Pelodiscus sinensis: one gene and its partner. The protein of the gene in region 2 interacts with the protein of the main gene of each other region in a pairwise test. Links are inferred from orthologs where the notes say so. Each region holds a gene or a part of one and is shown on either strand. Other genes may lie near its edges.

What was found.
Region 1: the proteins of CCNK (region 2) and CDK18 interact in binary tests that used the Homo sapiens proteins (3 or more experiments, as listed by UniProt). The two-hybrid records come from large-scale screens. The link is inferred for Pelodiscus sinensis from reciprocal best matches to the Homo sapiens genes CCNK and CDK18.

What each region holds. Positions count from the first base shown.
Region 1 is NC_134737.1:6,976,405-6,983,564, forward strand, and holds the start of CDK18 (cyclin-dependent kinase 18), read right to left. Parts: upstream 3,018-7,160; 5' UTR 2,844-3,017; coding exon 2,813-2,843; intron 1-2,812. UniProt on the Homo sapiens protein: May play a role in signal transduction cascades in terminally differentiated cells.
Region 2 is NC_134714.1:24,956,891-24,963,755, forward strand, and holds the start of CCNK (cyclin-K), read right to left. Parts: upstream 3,010-6,865; 5' UTR 2,770-3,009; intron 1-2,769. UniProt on the Homo sapiens protein: Regulatory subunit of cyclin-dependent kinases that mediates activation of target kinases.

The DNA of each region.
Region 1 (7,160 bases), on a different chromosome or scaffold from region 2:
AACTTTCAAGAGAGCTCTGCTGCCTTGCAGGTACCTCCATAGGAGAGGTTTTCAGGAGATCTCATGCACTGAGTGCTGTGTTCTTTTGAAAATATCTGCATCCTTGGGTGCGGCAGGGTGCCGGGCACCCTTGAAAACCCAGCTTTTGCGTAGGTGCAGAGTTTTTTAGATAATTTTCCCCTGGCTGTGGTGGCTGAGCTGAAACAAGCTAGGAAACGCAGAAGATAGCAGACTCCTGGCCTCAAACTGGGGCCAGAAAATTGACAAGACTGGATTGCACAAAAGGAGAGAGCGTGCGCAAGAGACCACAGCAGTAAGGAGGCATCAGTGTGGATTTGCCCTACAGTGGAAAGCTCAGTTGCTTTTCACAGCAGTCTGAAAGTAATTTTCACTCCAGCTTCTGTTCCAGCAACGGCGGCAGGCCAATGGCGTGAGGGGCTAAACAACTGGGTAGCAGAGGAGCAGCTTCGACTGCAGGCAAAATGCGCCCTTAAAAGGAACCTTGATTAGAAATGAAAAAGCGTGACCAGGATGCTGTATTTGGTAAGAGTCCAAATACAGAGTCTGCAGAGCTAGCTGCCTGCAGGATTGCAATCTAGGCCTTTACCTCTACATCCACCAACAGGTGGGGTTTTGTTTTCTGTTTCTTTTCCAGACAGCAGCTGTGAGTTAGCCAGGAAGGGATAAAGACACACAATGAATCCCCCACCTGGATGCCACTTGCTGAAAAAAGCCAAGTGACCTCCAGATTTAGACACTTATTAAACATTAGAAATGCAGCTTGGATGCAAATCCAGGCCATGTCTGTTTGGGCTGACTTTTGGGGTGGGGGAAGGAGGAGGAGCTGATGCATCAATAACTCAGAGCAAAACTCATCCCGGAAGGCATTTCAGAACCTCCACATGGCTGGAGGATAGAACGGGGCCCGGAGTCAGGCATCCAGGGTTCTAGCTCTACCAGTTCCACTTTGCCTCCATATTTCCATTTCCCTATCTGTGAAATGGTAACCTTCCTGCAAGGGAGGCTGTGAAGATGCATACAGCACAGCACCAGGGGCGTTCAAATGATTATGTGAACCCAAGAGATTTTCTTAGACAACCTGGCTCATGTTGCAGGTGCGGAATGAAGCCAGGAAAGTGTGTCCGGGTTTGTAATGAATGATCCGCTGGTCTCCAGAAGGACTAAGTAGGGACTGAAGGACTCAGAAGTGGGTACAGCCCAAAAGTTTGAATGCAAACATGTCTGGGGAGTGATTGGAGTCCAGTCAGTGTCATGTGCACACAGGTGCTCTGCACGTGATACACAGAGAGTGGAAGATGGCCTGGGATTCAGGGTACTGGGGTTTGGTTCTCAGCTCTGCCACTGACTCCCCGAGTGACCCTGGGCAAGTCATCTTGTCTCTGCTCCCCCTTCTGAAAAATAGAGCTAACAATTCTTCTTTTGTCTACCTAGATAGTAAACAACTTCAGGCAAGGAGTCTCTCACACTGTGTATATGAGCCTGACATAATGGGGTCACATCTCAGAGAGAGTCTACCTATCACCACAATAAATACATCCGGCATACATTAGCCACATTTAAAAGAGCCAATTCAGAAGCCAGGGTGCACAGCTACTGCATTGTCACTCACTGTGTCTGATCACACGACGCAATTACTATGCACACCATCCAGTGAAACCTGTTGTAAGCATCCATTCCAGGGACTAACAAAAAGTGGCTAGTTAGCGAAAGTGGCCTTCCCCAAAAACACAACACTGAACACACTCCTCCGTGCTGCCAGACCACATTCAGGTCTTCACCGAGATGCTGTCAGGGAAGGGGAAATCAGCCAGAGAGACGCAAGGTCACATTTTCACTGATGGGAAAACTGAGGCACAGAGGATAAGTGAGTTGACACAGGTCCCATGGGAAATCTATTGCACACTCAGCCTGTGGTTTGTTTTTCCACTCTGCCCAAACTGTGTTGCCACCGAAAATGCCCACAGGGTTGCCGGCAGCAACCTGGGCTCCATCCACATATACCACCCCTCAACTTCAACAAAGCCCACTGCTGTTAACCCTTTGCCTGCTGCCTGTGCAGCATGCCAACCGCGCTCTCCCCTCCACACACATTCGCTGCGCTGGCACAGGGTGCAAACAAGCCATGCCAGAGCCGAGGCAGGAGGCTGACGTTTCGTCCCTTTCAGAGTGAATGCCCCCACGGTGCCAATCCCGCTGCAGCTCTTGTTCTGGCTGGGCTTCATCCGCAGAAGAGCCAGCTTGTTGCAGCGTTGCTGGTGCCAATTCTAGTCCTGGCATGGTGGGGATTTGGGTTGCAGGCATGAACCGCCGTAACTTCTCCCCACCCGTGGCTGGGCAGGAGAGCTGAAGGAAGCCACGTATGGGGGGAGTTCCCCCACGTACCTGAGAATGTGACAGAGTGACAGCGAGATGCAACAGACACTGGCAGCCACCAAAAGTGCAGCACTGTGGGGAAGGTGCCCGCCCGGGGGGGTGACCCCTGCCTGAGCACGTGAACGGATGTCCCACCATGTGCCATCTAACAGCAGCCTCACAAAGTTTCATACTGGAGGCAACAGATTTTCCATTCCTCTCCCAGGCTGCAGGCTTTCTTCAAAGATAAGACAATATCATGCCCTGCTAGCAAACGCCTTAGGGTATTGGAGAAAGAGTTGCAGGGGATGGGAGGGGGGGAGAAGAGACGCAACAAAATGCCTCCCACCAAAACACAAACAGGAATCTCTTCTATCAAGGAGACCAGAATATGCTTCATTTGGCATACGGCTGATCTGCCTCAATGCCTGGCACATACCTCTGTCCACCTGACCCCCAATTACTGTCATGCCCTCTCCCACAAAGGACCCGTGCCATGAAGAGATCCGCAGTCCCCAGCGGGGAAGCCGTGCTGGGAAGCCAGAGGGATACAAAAGGAGAACGGCTCCTTTAAAAGCAAACCCCACTCGGTCGTACCTTTGCTCTGTTTACATTGCAATGCTGGTGAAATGTAGCCAGGAAGAACCAGTACTTACACTGCCGGAGAAGGGAGACTCACTCTTTTCCTTCCTTCCTTTCTTTCCAATCAAGGCCACTTTCTGCTTCCCCCAAATCTCTCCCGTCTCCGATCTCTCCCCCGCCGTAGCTGGGCTGATCTGCCTGGTGCACTTCACTCCCAGAAAGGGCAAGGAAAGATTCCTCCCCGCAGCAACCTGAGGCTGGGGCTGCAAAGGGAGGAGGAGAGAGAGAGAGTGAGTGAAATCCTCCCATAAAGCTGGAGTATTTCATGTGTGACACTGGCTCCACCCCAAAGCTGACAACCCTGCCGGGCAACTGCCAATCCCAGGGGGTAGCGAGCCCTGCCTGGCTTCCGCTCGGATGTTCTTTCACCAGCTGTTCCAGGCTTACAAGGCTAGGGGTGCAACGCACTGCTTCAGGATGGCTCACTTGGAAAACACATCCAGTTTCTTCTCCCACCCATCCAAACACACTCAGTTTGTCTTCACTGCCAACTTAACTCGGGCTCTTACTAGGGGGATACCTGCACCCAAAACTCTCTTCCCCTGGGCTAAGGGGGGTGTCACTGGTTAGGCCTCCCGGAGGGGTTCTTCCGCCTCCGGGTCAGTGTGCAGCCACTCCACCCCACTGCAGGGGGGCTGGGTAGATCCCTGAGCACTCGCTCAGCACATGGGGCTCTCCACCCCACAAACTGCCCTGCACCTACTCCAGGAGGTGAAGGCGGCCTTGCCGCAGCCCGCTCTCGATTTCCTGCAGTGGTCCCTGTGTGAGGGCACGCCCTGCCCCTCCCTTCCTGCAAACCCTCCGTCTATTGTTCCGCAGTCCGGCCCACCCCCCGGCCTTCCCATCCCTAGACCCCCAGCTGGCTGCAAGATCTGCAACCGGTTTGCTCCCAAACCGCACCAAGAGAACATCTGTACATGCTTGTGCTCCACACACAACCTTTCCTCACCCTCGTGTTCCGCCCCGACAACAAGAGACAGGGGCGGATATAGGGCAGGGCGAGTGGGGCGAGTGAGACGGTACTGTTTAAGGGTGGAGAACCCCAATGGGCCGCGGGATTAAGGTGGAACATACGCTGGCCCATTGGGGACACCAGTTGGCGGCTCCTTCACAGAGCCGTGAGCACGGGCGTGTACTTGGCGCAGTTCACCCCCATCCTGGACACCTGCCCTTTCTGCGGCGTGAGGGAAAACCTGGCGCACGCCTACCTGGAATGCGCCAGGTTGCAGCCCCTGTTCCGGCTCCTCCAGAACTTCTTATTGAGGTTCTAGCTGCACTTTTCCCCACACCTCATCATTTATGCGCACCCTATCCATGGTCCCACAGTCACGAGACTTCCTCGTCAACCTCCTCCTGGCACTGGCGAAAACCATTGTATACTATACCAGGAGGAGGATGCGAGACGAGGGGGTGCTCTGCGACTGTGGGGCCTATTTCCGTTCCTCCCTAGTGTCACGTATCCGGGCGGAGTTCCTCTGGGCAGCGTCCAATGGCTCCATTGACAGCTTTGAGGAGCAGTGGGCGCTGTCTGGGGTTCTTTTCTCTGTGTCCCCGTCTGGTTGCCTTGTTTTAAACTTGTGACCCCCACATCTTGATCCTGTTTTGTCATCATTTGTCCCCCAACATTAGTTGAACCCTGGGGCTACGTCTAGACTGCATGCCTCTGTCGACAGAGGGATGCAAATCAAGCATGTCGAAATTGCTAATGAAGCCGGGATTTAAATATCCCACGCCTCATTAGCATAAACATGGCCACCGCTATTTTCTTCGAAATGGAGTTTTTTTAAAAAAAAACAGAAGTCTAGACGTGGATCTGTGGAAAATAAAGCCTTTTTCGACAAATCCAGTATTCTTCAAAAAACAGAGGTTTACAGAGAGGAGTAGTCTAGACACACCCTGGGTCTAGTCATCCTTCCCACAAGGATGACCCTAATCAGCCTTGCAAGCAGCATCACGATCGTTCCAAGCAGCAAAATCCAGCCATGGATTCCCCACCCCTGTGTGCCCCAAAGTTTATGGATCCGAAGCCTGATGCAGCCCGTGGCAGACACAGCAGCTGGCTTTGGTCTGCCCCAGGCCAATAGGACAGATTCAGCGGAATGATGCTGATTTACACCAGCTGAGGATCTGGCCCACTGCAGGGAGGTAACATCCCATTTAACTGGTTAAACAAAGGGGAGGGAGGGCAGGCAGGGGGTTTGCTCCAGCCTGGCTGTCCCAGCCAGAGCAGCCCCTGTCTATGGCGAGCTCCCCGTGAGGCTGGAACAGTCCCATGCCCATGGCAGATGCGAAGCTTCAGTCTCCACCGCTAGTCCACTGGTGCCAAAGTTCAGAGTTCCAGTCACTCAGAGGGCCAGGGAGTCTGCTGCAAAATTCTGTCCAAATCCTGACTCTGAGCCTTCTGACACCAGAGTCTGGGTCATGCTTGACTTTCCCTGACCTGCAGAATTCCTCCAGCATAGCCTGGGAACCCCAGCAAGCATAGCTGGCATTTTGCTGTCCCCCACCGAAGTTCTTGGCAGAGAGGCATTTCTTTGGAGGGTGGAGGGGCTTCACTCAAGTATTCCCAGCTGCCTTCGGTGGCACAAATCAGGGAAGCCTTGGGGGCTACTCTCAGCGGCTGCTGATGCAGCAGGAAATGAATTGGACCCTAATAAAGCCACTTTTGCCCACCTCACTACTCTGATCTCAGCACCAAGTTCCTTGTAGGATTAATCTGATGCCCAGCATGAAAAACGCCAACCACCAAGCAACCTGATATTGAAAATATAAGGCTGGGCCACTGGTTGTCCAGATCTTTTAGGTTTCTGCTTACCAGCCTAATCAGTTTCCATTCGGTTCTGCGTTTGCAGCATGATCATCTTTGCCAATAACTACTTGCTGTGTTATATTTAGCCAAATATATTCAGCTTCCTGAAAATAGACACCCATGAAAATAAATCAGGCTTCCTTAAGGTATCAACATCATCTGTCTGTGACTAATTAACTTCTCACATAAGTTGCTGTACCATTCCCACCCCTTCCCCAACAGTGTCTGGCTGTCACTACAATGTCAATAAGTAGTGTAATGTTGGGTGAAAACTGCAGTGGTAACTGAGGGGATTTAGGAACAATAACGTGGCTATAGGAGATAGGAGGACTGGAATAAGATGGGGATGCTAATAACACACCTGTGCGTGGCAAGACACAGTGACCTTGGAAAAAGGGCATGGAGGACCAGCCAGAAGATGATGGTCTCCATGCCCTCACTTTGCCTTTTCCCCCCATTCTCCTGTTTCATGCTGGAGAAAGTCCTGGGAGATTTTCCTGTCTGGGTGCATGTAGGTTGACCAAGGCTGTCTGTGTTTTGCTGGAGGCGACCCTAGAGAACGGATGACATCACAAGAGTGTGACGTCTGAGCCACTGAAAGAAGAGACTTTTAGTCAGGCTGTTTTTGCTCGCTCATCATAACACCATTATGACTCTACGTCCCAAACAAGACTTGGGAGGGACAGGACCTTTTTGAAAGATTCAGCATCCTTACCACTGTAACTGAGAAACCTCCCACTGCAAACCCAGTCTGCCTGGGTTTAAGGCAGCAAACTAGAACATGGGTGACATAAGGGCGAGCCCACCTCTGCCACAGACTACTTCGGTGACCTTGGGAAAGTCACTCAGTCTCTCTGTGCCTCAGTCTCCCATCTGCCAAAAGGAGATCATAATCCTTTCTTGGCCTATCTTGTCTAAGATGATAAATCCTTTGGGCAGAGACCAGCCCTGAACGTGTTCACCTGCAATGCCTTGCACGATGGAGCCTGGGGGAATGACTTCAATAGAACAGCAATTCTTGCTGCTCATGCCACACTCAATCCATGACACCAAACAGAACTTCAGTTTCTGGTGCTGTCAGCCTGGCACCTTAAAATCACGTAGAATCAGAAAGCAGACTAGAATCCAAGGCAGAACATATCCATTTAGGGACTGTAAGCCCAGCGCTGAAGGCACAAAGAGAACTCACTGGACCTGCGTGCAACAGCAAAGATTTTCACAAGCAATATCTGAGCATGGATGTAAGCTCAGTGCCCGTGTCACATCGGCTGCCTCTGGGCCCATAATATTCCTCAGAAAAATAAATCACACTAATCCCCAGGCTAAGGAAGGAATA
Region 2 (6,865 bases):
TAGGGGTCCAACTGGATTCCTAGATGCCACAGGAAGATCAGATAACTGATCTGGTGGTTGCTGCTTTCTAATCATTTTCACATATGGATCTTGCCTCATTTACATTTTTGTCATCTCAAAGTTAAGATTACTAAAATGCACTCCATATGGGACCATGTCTTAAAACCACCAACAAACAAGATATTGTGCAGAATGTGGTAGCACACTGAGAAAGCAAGGTATGTTCCTACAAGCAAATTAAATCAGTGCTTCAGTTTCCAATGGATTCCTGTGAATTTCTAGGTAAATTAGAGGGTTAGCAGAAGCTCCCTCCTCCATGAACTTTCTGTCAAATTACAGATACTGTGCCTTCATTGTTCTTGATTCACCTCTCTTTTACAGTGTCTCCAGGCACCAATTATGATTACTCTGCAGACCCAGCTGAGTTTGGCCATCTATATGTATTCATTGCAACCTATTTCTCTCTCCGCAGGAATGCAGCAATCAGAGAAAAATGTTAAAACAAGAACAGGCCTACATGCATAAAGGTCTTACAAACGTAAGACTTACTTCTCAGTCTCAGGGAATCAAGTGAGCATATCTCCAGACTGTTTGTTTTTTCCTAAATGTCAGTGTCTTTTCAAAACCAGCCCAGTCCAGTCACTTGCTGGTGCTGGGTCAGAGTCATGACCCCTCTTCCCCATACAGACAACCCTGTGCATCAAGACACTTTCCCTTCCAATACCCAGACTCTCCTCTGCCAAGCCTTAGCTTCTACATTTGGAGTCCCCCCACACTGAGTACTACCTTATGTAGTCAGACTCCCGTGCCAAGCCCCACTGCCTCCGGTATCTGGACTGTGGGTATTCCTGTATCCAGACTACCCCGTGCAACCCCTTCACTTGAACTCTCAGTCCAATGAACCCCACTTCCTATGCATATGAACCACCCCACAAGCCTCTTGCACCCAGACCAGGTCTGCAACCAGCTGCACCTGGACTCCCACCGTGCCAATCCACACTCTCCCAATATCTGGACACCTCTGCTAAATTTCCAACACCCAGAATCCGCTTCTTAGCCCCAATCATCTTCATCTGGATCCCCTTGCAAAGTTCCTATGCCCCTGCAACTGGACTAGGGATGTTAAATATCGGTTAGTTGAACAGTCTATTAAATTCATGAATTCTTATCAGTTACTCAACTAGTCTATAGTCCCCGGAAGTGGGGCCGGGGCAGCAGTGCGGGGACTATAGAAGCCCCAGAGTTGGGACCAAGGCAGCAGTGCAGGAGCACCAGGTGGGAGCTGGTCCATGAGGTGAGCCAGTTTAGAAACCATCTCCCCTCCTGGCCCAGCTGCCTTTCACCCTGCGCTGCTACCTCTGATACAGAGGCAACAGTCCCTGTCCAGGGGATCACTGAGCTCCTGGACGCAGCATGAGCCAAAACTGAGCCGGGATGCCTGCCCACCCAGCTCCTGATACACTTTTAATGCAGAGCCGCAAGAGGGGTAGGTCCCAGACCCAGTGTGAGCCAGGATTGAGCCAGGTTGCTGGCCAGCCTGCTAAAAAATTTACTGGCCGGGTGGCGGGAATGCAAGGGGCCTATAGCATTAACCTATAAACTTTTGCTTATTGGTTAATTGACTACACTATTACAGCCCTAAACTGGACCCCACTGTGCATACAGATCTTCTGCATACCTGGACTCCCCCCTCAACTAAGCTGCCTACACCCAAAATCCTCTTTTCCCACACCTGAACCTCTCCACATCAAGCCTCTGCACACTTGGATCCCACTGTTCTGCATCTGCCCTTGCATAGCTGGTGCACCTGATGCAGAGGGCCAGGACCCCAGGGTGTTTTGGGGGCAGAGTTGGACTTTGTGTTTTGTCAAGGTTGGGTGCAGCTTCACCACAGTGTTGTGGGAAAAGGGAGCAGTAGGGTGATCTCCAGCCTCTGTACAGCTACTGGGCTATGTTTTCCACTACCGTGTTGGAGACTCCACATTTATAGACAAAACCTGCAGAATTTTAAAATATTGAGTACAGCATTTTTTTTGTATGGAATTCCCTCCTTTGTTTCAAGAGGTTTCTCATCAAAACCAAAACAGACAAAAGTCGGTAATTGGAATACTTTAAGAACATTAAACTAACAGCTTTATTTTTAAAAGTCTCTTCTTACATCACAAAAACAACAACGACTAGCAGGCACCACGAGCTCATTCCTTACCTCCCCAATACAGCACTTTCACAAACAAGCTAGTTTACAGTGAAACTTTTCTTAGGAAAGATCACACTACCACCTGCCCCACATACAGCAAATACTGATTTAATCCAACGTACGGTCTCGACTAGCCTTTTCCTACGTGTAACGCAGTTAGCAGAGTTGAACCGAAGGACAAATTTTACGTTTTTATGACACCAATCTTCCGGGGGATGGGGGAGAAGGGGCGGGCTACTGCCCAGACTGAAGACTGGAGAAACAACGCGCGAAGGTCGAGTGGCCCGATAGCCATGTTTGGCACCCTATTCTCACACGGACCCTCCCCAGCGCCAGGGCCCTCAAGGACACTCGGCTCTCAACCACTCCGAATCAGCCCCACGGCTACGCCCACCCCCCGCCTCAAATCTCCCGCTGCCTCAGGACCGGGATCTCAATTTACACCTCCCTCTTCAGCCGCCTGGCCACAGCACCCCCCGGCACGATCGCAACCCCTTCTCCTCAGCGTCCCGACCCTCGCTCAGCACCCAGAAGTCCCGTACCACGGCATCCCGCTCCTCGCGCATACCTACCCCAGAGCCCCATGTCACCTCCGCCCCATCCCACTCTGTACGCGGTCACACTCCCACCGAGAGACACTCACAAATCAAGCGCGCGAACCCCCCGCAGCACTGCGAGGCCACTAACGACAACACCTTCGCTCCCTGCGCGGCGCCATTTTGGGAATCGGACCAAGGCGTTGCGTTCCGTCGCTGCGTTAGCGTCGCGAGGGCACGGCGCCCACGTTCCAGCCGACCAATGAGGATCCTAGCCACAGCGCTAACTTCCACCCTTCCCCATCACACGCACACTAGAACAGGTTTGCGCGCACCCTACCGTGGCTGTGTCGAGGAAGACCAATCAGGTACTCGAATCGAGAGGATTGTAGGCCTCTTCAACCAATAGGAATCGAAAGTGGTAGGGTGAATTTTCGCCAATCGGGAGTAGCCACACCCCTTGTCCCTGTTTCCGCCACTCCCAGTGGGTGAGCGACAGGGGCGGCGGGGAAGGGGCGGCCTATGAGATGCCTTGGCTGTGGCAGAGCTGGGGGCGGGCCCTTTGTGTGGGTAAGGCTCAGCCAATGGAGGTAGCGGGGTGGAATCAGTGGGCGGGCCGGGCGTTGGGAGTGTGGGGCTCGGGTTAGCTCGGCCGCCACCTCCCCCTTTCCCGGGCAGCGGACGGTGTCCGGTGAGAGAAACGCGGGCGGCTGCGCGCCGTTTCCAAGAGAAGGAGCCGTCGCGGTCGTGCGGAAGGTAGGGAGCCACCGGCCGTTCCGGCCTCTTCTTTTGGGGGGGGGCAGTCCTCTCACGCGCTGGCGGGTTTGGGGCGCTACCCCCTCCCATCATCTGTGTCCCGCAGGGGCCACCCCCAGCAGCTCTCGGTGAACCCATCCGCTCCGCGCCCGCCCAGGCCTCGCCACCCCGTGTCCTCCGGCACAACTCTGACCTCGCTCCACCCCTCAGCGGCCGCCCCCGTCTCTCCTAGTGCTGCTGCGGATGCTGCAGCACCCCCTGGTTTGAAGTGGTTTCCATTATATCCAGGGCTTGCAGTTTGCCTCAGTGGGTCTGAGCCCCTCCACTACAGAAATTGTTCCTGCGCCCCTGCGTGTTATCTTTCCCTCCCTTTAGGGTGCGGGAGCAGCTTCACCGCCTGAACTTTCACCATCCAGTCTCCTATGCTGGGAGCATCCCATTCCTAGCAGCCTGCTCTTCTGGTACTGAAAACCTGCCTCCCACTTGTTATCCTGCTGGCATAAGTCGTGGTCCTTCTTCCCACCCACCCTGCCTTCCTCTTCTTGTCTGTGCCTGACACCCACTTGTAGCTTCTCCCTTCTCATCTTTCCTATTAACATCAGATTTCTCCTGGGGGAGCTGCAATCCTCAGTCCCTCACCCACCACTCCACCCCTTACTCTTATGGGTATCACCACACTTCTCTGTTTCTCATTTTGCTTCTTCTCCTGTGCATCCCACTCACTGTCCTTTTGGTAAAAGAAAACACTCATTTCACTGACTGAGATAGGGGAGAAGAGAAGGTGGGATGACAGTACTTCATCACATGTACTTCAGCTCTCCCACTTGCTGCTTGTCTATTTTCCACTCACTGTCTTGCCAGGGCAGGAGAGAAAAACATTACACCCCACACCTACCTGCTACTCCCTGTCCTGCAGTTATGTGTGAGTATTTTGTTTTAATCCCTGTGTATATGCTCTCAAGGTATGACATTTTCTTCACTTTTATGAAAACTGGGGGCAGTTACATCAACTTCCTCTTCTTGTTCCTCCCTCCAAAAAGTGATAGCAAGGGTGGAATGAAAGTAAACAAAATGCTTAACTTGACTTCTCCCTGATGTTTTGATGAATGCTTTGATCAGAGTTCACATTTAAAAAAAAAAAGAGTTTAAATCAACTCCCCTTACCTCTTTGCCTTCCATAATTCTCCCATACTTCAATTTTTCTGGATCCAGCTCTGTTTCTGCTGGTATGTGGGAGTCTCTTGCTTCATAGAGAGGTGAGCAGGAGGAGGCTTAGATTCAATTATCAATAATATAACATTGGTTTGTATTGTTTTAAGCACTCCTTTTGTTTTCTCTTCTGCCATCTTTTTTGACTTTTTATGGGGTTTTTGTATTTTATTTTTTTGTGTGTGGCAGAATTAAGCCCAGCAGCTTAAAATACACTGAATGATTTAAGTATCTTTTGAATTGATTGATTTGCAGGGGTATTACATCTTCATGGGCCTGTGTGTTGCAACCTGCTTAAATCAGTACTGAAGCTGCTACTGATATTGATGCCATGGTGAAGCTGTTTCTACAACTTCCTTTCCTGCTCAAAGAGGATTAGTTTAGACTATAAAATACAGGCAGTCCCCAGGTTACATGGATCCGACTTACATCGGATCCCTACTTACAAACGGGGTGAGGCAACCCTGCACTAGCTGCTTCCCCCCAGCAGACCAGGGAGACGCGAAGCTAGCGTCCCCCCCCGCCCCCCCCCCCCCGCCACCCAGCAGACCAGGGAGACGCGGAGCAGCTTTTCTCAGCAGACACCTCAGCTTGAGAATAAAGGACTGAGGGAAGTGAGATGTGGGAGAATAAAACTGAGCTCTGGAGAAATATTTGGCTAGAGTTTCCCCTACAATATGTACCAGTTCCGACTTACATACAAATTCAACTTAAGAACAAACCTACAGTCCCTATCTTGTACGTAACCCGGGGACTGCCTGTACCATTTAAGAAATACAAAGATGAATTCATACCACTATTATCTCTTCCAGAGTAAAATGGCAGACTCTGCTCTTCACAAATATACCATTTTACATGTGAAATAAACACATCTTTCCCCTCTTCTGCTCCCAAGATTATGATGATTAGTCCACATTTCAGAATGATAACTTGACTTAGCCTTCAGTTATTGACAAGGAAAGGGAAGGAGCATTTTTCCTCATTAAGGTCACCTAGTAGAGAAATGTGTATTTTTACAGAGAAGCAGTTTTACTAATGTGTGGTTTTTGTTGTTGTTGTTGTTGTGTTTTTTTTTTTTTTTTAAGAAAAATACTTAAAATTTATTGTGCTATATACTAAATATATTTTAGGTTTTTTTTTAATAAAAACATAATATAAAGAAGCTACTGTAGGTATCTGGATGAATGATGTTTCAGATATTATCCATACATCTGGCTTCCAATTTAAACTAGTCATCCATTCAGCAAACTACAAATACACAAATGATGTGTCTTTAAGGGTGTGTTTTATCAGTCATGTTAGCTTAGTTGCGTTAATGTAACATGACAACTTCAGACATGCTCGCCTGCATTTTAACAGGGCTTTTCAATTGTGTTAATTGGATTCAGCTAACACAATTGAAAAACATACCCTGTTGCCTGTCAAAGCAGAGCCAGAGATAGCTTTAGGATTTCAGCCAAAATGTAAGCATGTAGAATCAAAATACTGGCATATCCAAGTAAAGGTGAACTGAGCTGCAGACTGGATGCAGATCTGAATTTTCCAAATTTCTTTCTAGTCACGAATACTATATTTATGTGAACCAAAAGGAAAAAACATATATTGTCTGTCTGTATATATGAGACGAATGCATCTTTATTGGCAGCACTGTTTAGTATTTGTTTGGTGAAAGAATATGCAATTGGAATTATGAAATATTCCCTACTAGATCCATGGTATAGAATTCACAGAATTGTACATTTAAAACAGATTTTAAACCAATTAAATATTAAGCTTTACACTGTTGCTTATTTAGGCTTGTTCCACTGTTGTTAAAAAAGTGATGTCAAGGAGCCAGATTTAGTTTACACAGGCAGTGTTCATTTTTGCATATAATACATTAAAATTTTCATACATTTATAGTTGTTTAAACTATTCGATCAGGATGTGATTTTACTCTAGTTGAGTTTGAGTTAAGGTTATATCTGTGTTTGGATGATTGAGATGTATATATTGTGGGTAATTGTATTTTGGAAGTGGTAGATAGACTGTGGATAGAAGGTGCATTTTGTATAATGGCAGGTAGGCACTATACAGGCAGTCCCCGGGTTACGTACAAGATAGGGACTGTAGGTTTGTTCTTAAGCTGAATCTGTATGTAAGTCGGAACTGGCGTCAGCCGCTGCTG